Linked DNA regions of Schizosaccharomyces pombe. Changing the gene in region 2 together with the main gene of any one other region gives a genetic interaction. Each region holds a gene or a part of one and is shown on either strand. Other genes may lie near its edges.

Region 1 (3,762 bases), 1.2 Mb from region 2:
AAGCAATTACAAAGATTGCCCTCCCACAGGTCGGTAATCGTAATTTGAAATTACAGAAGAACGTTTTACTATAACCTTTTTAAATATATAAAAAAAAGCAAATAAAGTAATTCTAATAAACAATATTATGCCTACGAGCACACTAGACGAAAACAGCAGTTTCTGTCCGACCACTGTATTTGAGGTCGAAGGGTTTTACGTTAGTTCGGTACTACAGAGCTTCTTTTCCTATTAATTTCCTATCTCATAGTGACAACTATAATTTTCACTGTACTTTGTGGATTTGAAGGTTCATTGTCATCAATATTTGTCAAATCACGTTTATAGCCAACACAACACCATTAGTATCAAAAGTGGGATTTTGCAAAGCGAACAAAAAGAGCAAGATTTACAATTTTCAAAAAAAAAGTGAGAAACTCGCATTTTTGGCTAGAGTTTATTAGTGGCCTAGTATATTCACGCGTCTGTAATGTTTCAAATGGATAATAATTCATCTATAAACCAAAATCAAATCAAAACGTAAAGCAACTCCAACACAAATATTAGCATATTCTCTAAATTGATGTTTAAACAATCAATCAATATAGGACTTCTGTCTACAAATATAGTAATATATTTTGCAAGCAAAAATGCTCCAATATTGACAAAAGCATAAAGGCACAAACTCCTCCTTTCGAATGAACTTAGCAATCATTATTGAGTTGACATTATTCTTCCATCTGAGCTTAAAAGTACGCATCACTGGCCAAATCAGTCATTAGTGTAGAATGCGTAGGCTTCCAACCTAAACGTTGCTGCGTAAGAATACTTGAAGTTGGATTATCAACAGACAAAAAGCTGGAAAGAAATCCAAAATGTTCGGTGGCTTCTTCAGAAGATACGGAGATGACAGGTATATCAAGTCGTTTGCCAATCATGCCTGCGATTTCTTTGATCGGAATACCTTCTTCGGCAACAGCATGATAAATGGAACCAGCAGTTTCTTTTTCTAGAGCTAATACAAACAAATTAGCAGCATCAGTTCTATGAACGGCAGGCCAACAATTCATACCATTACCGATATAAGCAGAAACACCTTTATTTTTGGCCACGTTAATGAGCATGGGCACAAATGCGTGATCTCCTGCTCCATGAACGGTAGGTGGAAGGCGAAGGATTGAAGCACGTACTCCTTGAGATGCAAATTTAAGAGTTGTCACCTCTCCTAATTGGCGTGGAATTGGTGGTTGGGGAACTTCACTTATCTCGGTGCCTAACTTACCGTTGGAAGAAAGCACAGCGGTTACAGAAGTGGTAATCAAAGGACGCTCAGTTCCTCTAAGGACTTCGCCGATAGCTTCAATGACACGAGCGTCAAGCTTACAGGCCTCTTGATATATACTAAAGTCGTGAACGAAAGCCGTGTGAATAACGCCATCACATTGCGCTACTCCTTTTTTCAGTGTATCCAAATCTTCAAGTGTACCAATGTAAGGTGTGCCTCCAGCAGCTCTGAGTTTTGCCGCGTTTTCTTCTGAGCGCACCAGACCAACCACTTCATGTCCGGCTTCAAGAAGCTGTCTCACTATTTCAGAGCCAATAAACCCAGCTGCACCAGTTACAAATATACGCATAATTGCTTAAGAAGATACTGTTCTCGGATCACCTCCTTATGTACGAATACATACTCATTGGTATAAAGTAAATTAAACGATATATAAAGACCACAGGTAAGCGATCATGACGTAAAAGAGCGACAGTTTATTCTTCCTATATGACTAAGCTTGTTAATCAGTAACGAACAAATGGAGGATTTAAAAAAGATGCAAGCATATATTAATTAACAAAAAGAAGTGAGCATGCAGAATACTGGATTCCTTAGGTCTCCAACCATAGTATTTATGAGGCCTTGGAGCATTTAGCTGCAAATGATCGAACAGGAACTGGTGTTTCCTCGCCTAGGACGTTATGAAAAAACCTATTGTTGACGATCGGTCATTTATATTCTATTTTATTTAATCGTATAAGGTGATCATTGGAAGAAATATATGTTGTCTCACGTTTTAGCATATTACGATCTGTAATCCTTAGTAACATGGACCTGTAATAGACGGCCTCGTTCTTTCTATACTCTTCTTTGGTTTTACTGTCAGGGTCTCTTTGCTCTTTGCGATGAATACAAAGAGTACGAATCCGCTAAGAATTATAACGAACGGTGAGAATACTCGATAAAATCAGATGTGTTTGCTGGTCATTTCCACGGTCTATCTAGCACAATGAGTGCTGCTGGATTTGCTCGATATAGACTCATCCGGCGCTTGGCGATCTATGGGTATGGATGATTTTCTGTTGCCTGAAAGCCGACTGGCTGATCGCGCTAAATTTCCTGCATGAGATTTCCAGTAATATGACTATTTACTGCTAAAATTAAGTGTGCTATAATGTTTTCGTTACTTATCTCAAGCTATACATCAAGTGGGAGGTATAAGCTCTTCTGTTATATATACGTTACCATTAAAAACAGTGTTTTGGCCAGCTTTCACCAAGCGCAAAAAACATACATGTTAACGAAACAATTCAATTGTTTTTTTTTTAAACTCTATGGTTCATGAACAAATCTTGCAATCATTGATAACCTTACTGATGCTACAGAAAAACTAAATCTCGGCGAAACAATTTTTTACATTATTCAAATGACATCGTAGTAATCGTTAATTCCTTCAATAATTAAACAAGATAACTCAACACACACTATAGTTACGGAATAATAAATAGATTTTGCTAACTTAGGTGCTGTAACATTACTTTCAGTTTGCCTTGTCAACAAGTTTAAATAGCAAATTAAAAGAAACTAGTTTGTTTGAAACTATAAAACCTTTTAGCTTAAAAACGAAATGAAAAATTTTCCTAATTTTATCAATAAAGTAGTTTTTATTTTATTAAGTATTGTTAGTGAAATACAATTGCGATGCATGTCAAGAAGCTCTTAATTCACTATACATGTTTTAAAGTCGCAATACCTTTTAAAGTTAACAATAACTGTTGGAAAAATCATTCCGTTCTTTTCTATTTTATTTACGTTGTGTAATATTAACATCTAAGGGTTTTGCTTTGTGAAATCAAGTGTCATTCTAGTGTTTCCCTCTACCTCCATTTAACTGCAGACGTCCTAAAGAGTTGGTGGACTCAATTCATGGCTTGATGACTACAGACGTTAAAGAAAAAGCTACATTTAAGTTGTTAGATTTAATAGACAGTGTATGTGGATTTGAAAAGTGACATGCTAATGATAATGTGTTAAAGGTTACTGGGAAAAAAAGTTTGCTCTTGGAACGTGATCTGTCAGGAATTTTAGGTCAAATAGTTACTACCAATACTTTACAAGAACATGGAATACCTCAGGTTTATTGGTTTAATGAAAATATTCCAAATGATATTGAGAAAAAGACAATCTACTTGTGCAGACCAACTTATGAAAATGCCAAACTAGTTGCTACTCATGTTCGTCAATTTCAAAGGGATATGTTACGCATTGAGAGCACAGTAATTGTTTTGCCTACCTCAAATATCCTCTTTGAGACGGTACTGCAAGAGGAGGGTGTGTTTGGAGAATTACTTGTGACTGAATGGCCGTTACATGCCGTACCCTTGGACAAGGACCTTTTGTCATTAGAACTTGGTCCAGAGAAATTGGAAGAAAGCTTACTTCAACGAAGTACAGATGCTTTAATTGATTTTGAACGCACTCATGGACGGTTTCCTCGAGTCTCTGGGAGGGGCCCC
Region 2 (3,762 bases):
TTAATTTTGTTACGAGCTCCTGGCGGACGCCCGCGTTTACGAGGGACTCCTGCTTCATTTTCAACATTTTCCGTTTCTACTTGATTGGTTTGTCGAGACCAAGAATCATTCAACCCGTCACTTTCTTTGGGTGAAGAAACGTCTCGTAAATCATCAGGCCATTGATGCCAGTCAGGATCAATGGAATCAGCAACGCCAACTGCTTCAGCAGTTTGAAAAGCGTGATCATGGTTATGTGAATTGTTGGCTGCGGAAGGTAACTGATGGTCTTCGTCAGGTGGTTCAAACATATTTGGAGGATGTGGGAGAGAATGGTTTTGAGGAGTTGTCTGATGTGCTTGTTGAGAACCTCGTTCAGACATGTGATGGGACGCTCTCATTAAAAGGGATTGAGGGGTAGGGCATTCTTGGGAATCTGCATGAGGGTTTGTGACAAAGCTACCAAGATTGTGAGTGTTGTCGTCTAAACTAGCACTAGCTGAATGAATCCAGTTAGAAGGGGAGGTTGACGTGCGCATTGTGGAGATGGAGGAAGAGTTAACATCTGGATGAGACATTAAGCCTGCACGTAAAGATTTAATAACCAAATCATCAGTTACATTTACATTGCATCGAACTTGAGGTTGGGTTTCAGGAATTTCGAGATAATAAGGATTTGGTTTATTCAGGAGATAATCGAAAAAAGCATCAACATGTGTTTGACTCATCCACCGTTTTAAACGAACAACATACTGTTGTATTTTTTGAGTAGATTGTTCATCTTTTCGTTCCACACCAAGAAAACCCACCAGCTTGGACCAAGAGTTAATTATTTTTTGGTGGTATTGCCGGACAAGGAGAAATAAGACCCAAATCTCAAATTTTTGACCCTCTGATTTAGGAATCATATTGAATGCATTTGCTAATTGCCTCGTGTCAGCACCTGCATACCAGGGATTGCAGCAAAGACAGAATTGGCAGAACTTTTCAGTAATATTATCCGCGCTAACATCATGTCTAGATGGCAACAAGGAATAAAAGTTCATCCTTGATTAATTGCTTTAAAAAACAATAAAAAATGTAAAAAGACAGATAGATAAACGTTGGATTATTAAGTAAACACGACAGAAAGACACAAGCAATGTCGAATAAAGAGATTAACAGTATATAAATATCAGAAAAGATCCAGGGATTTTAATAGAATGTATCAGTTCTTGGAACAGGAAGGAGTTGCTGTCTATAAATTAAACTCCAATCTGTAAATGAACCGATGTTTTTTTTTCCGTACACTAAAAAAAGGGAATGGAGGTAAATAAAGCAAAAAAAACGAAATAAGAGAATGAATGTAACCAAAAAAAAGAAAATATAAGTACAGATGTTAAATTTTGTTTGTTTCTTCTCTAGAAATTAGAGAAGTATTGACATGAAGTAGCTCGTCTACACTATACGAAAAGATGCACAGATTATGAAAACAATTGATCCCCTCCTATGATGAAAAAAGGATGCGGAAGGTATTACAGAAGTTTTTCTTCTTTAAGAAAGAAAATAAGAATGGTGTCCCTAAGCTATATGGCACGTATAGCAAGGGTGTCGAGAAATTTTCGGAAAAAATTGTAAACCCTCCAACAATCGGTTGTATTCACAATTGAAATTAAGAATTGGAAGAGTTTCTCTCACGAAAACCTATTACCTTGGCGTTTAGCTTTTCGAGAAAAAGAAAATTGCACGGTCATACAATTTCGCGATTTTTCAAAAGAAGGATGGCAAAGAAAGATATTTCCAAAGAGGCGAAACCTCTTAAATCTAATTTACAAACGATAAATAAAAAGCGCGAAAAACTTGCACACGAGCAAAAGTCCAATTTATATATTGGAATGGAAGATAGAGTAGAAAATGGGAAACGCGAATAAAGTACTCTTTTTCCTTCATATATTGTGATACCTTGGGCCATCCGACTCAGATAACAAGATGATACCTTTAACCCGTTGTTACCGTAGCACTCGCTGAATCAAGGTACTTAACGACTGTCGGTAAACGGAGTCGTGCGCCGTTTACCGATGAGGGATACGTAATCGCACATTAGGACACCTTCAATCTCCCTATATCTTTTGGATAGATCGAGAAATTGCTAGAGGAAAGATGGAACGGGATTGCATTAAAAAATAGAGGCAATAAATTAAAAATGTTTCAATCAAGAGTTCAAAGATTATTACAGATTTACTACTCATTTCTGTAAAGCAATGGTTATTGCGCTGTCTCGACTGCTGTTATTTACCTGACACACTAGGGGCACACACTAGGGGCACACATTGGCGGCAACCCGAATGGAATACAAAAAATGCAAATTTTGATTTCAATCGACCAATGCTATAAATGAAAAAGACAAATAAAATCGAATCATATAAAAAAACAGAATAAATAATGAGACAGACAGTGGAAATGATCCAGCGGCATCGAGAATTTAAAAAATCGGCTCTTCTCTAATAGTATCTTTTTGCATTTGCAACGGAGCGCATATTACAAATCTAAGGTTGAATACTAATTATTACGAATAATAAGCTATAAAACTATTTTTTTTGGAAATAAACAGCTATTTAGATTAGAGTACATGAGTACTACTGTTAGTAAACAAAACGACATTCACTCTCTATATTTATGGCAAATTTTTAACAGCTAATTTTAACAATTTCTTGAGTTGCCACTCAAAGTATAAAGAGATATGCCTTCTTCGATTTACTTGTTGAAACTACCAATTTAAATAATAGCTGCTAACGGCTTCTAGTGATATTCCTTAAACGGCAATCGCCATTTTAAGGAAGAAAGGCCAATTGGTCGCACTAATAAGGACCTGATTTGAAGCCGCTGTAAAATAGGGTTTTCCCTTTTTTGCTGAGTTCGCGTGAAGGTTGTAGGCGAAATAAAGTGACAATATACATTCAAAATACAGACTTCATTATGGGAACTTTCATTTTCTTTATAGTGGTAGCAGGATAACCTAGCCTTTGTGTATAAGGTGATATCCTTTTACAGAGGTTAGCTATGGATTCTTGTAATACAGCCAAAAGTACGTACATAAATTTTGAGTAAAAAATTCGGGTATGGTTGAAGGAGGCGTAAACGGAAGCATTTTCTTGGCGTTAATTGAACATGTTTCGCACTTTAGTCTTCTTACTATGTCATGAAAAGAGCTATTTTAATTATTGTACGGGGTGGCTTGCTAAATATTGATCTGCTAGATATAAAATTAATAAATAAATAATAAAATAATAAAAAATTTTGTAAAAAGAGAAGCGAAAAACCAAACCGACTTAACTTTTTGTAAATAAATATATTTAATTTTATTTACTTTTGAATTTTTTTTTCAGCCCTATTCAAGATCAATTGACCCCTTTTTTGGCAAAATTTCACCATTGCTGAGATTTCGGCATCAGAAAATTTTCACATACTATGGTGAAAAAAAGAAAACAGTCAAGGCGTAGCATCGCAAATTTGGATTCATACAAGAAAAAAAATCTCGTCAGCAATACGCTTAATAACACCGACTGTAATAAATAATGGTGGTTTAGCACTAATATAATCGTAAGTTAATAAACAATCATCAATTGGATGGCCAAGCCAGAAGAAATCCCAAAAATAAAAAAATTATAAAAAATGATAAATCTATTTTTAATCTCTTAAATTGTTATTGCGGTAGGCCGTTTTTTTGAATGTCAATTGCTCAATCCGTCTTTTCCACTATTTGGGTTCATCCCTTGGTAGCGGCTACTTAATATGCTTCTAGGT

What was found. A genetic interaction does not mean that the proteins touch.
Region 1: of abp2 (region 2) and SPOM_SPBC2A9.02, extra expression of one rescues a mutant of the other (dosage rescue), as found in Schizosaccharomyces pombe (one study listed by BioGRID).

The regions. Positions count from the first base shown.
Region 1 is NC_003423.3:2,946,499-2,950,260, reverse strand, and holds the start of SPOM_SPBC2A9.02 (NAD-dependent epimerase/dehydratase family protein), read right to left. Parts: upstream 1,670-3,762; 5' UTR 1,614-1,669; coding exon 726-1,613; 3' UTR 1-725. Other genes in the region: HOPS/CORVET complex subunit, vacuolar sorting protein Vps33, read left to right, coding at 3,181-3,237, 3,283-3,762.
Region 2 is NC_003423.3:4,128,965-4,132,726, reverse strand, and holds the start of abp2 (ARS-binding protein Abp2), read right to left. Parts: upstream 1,863-3,762; 5' UTR 1,026-1,862; coding exon 1-1,025. UniProt on the Schizosaccharomyces pombe protein: Binds, preferentially, to the Maundrell ARS consensus sequence within ARS3002.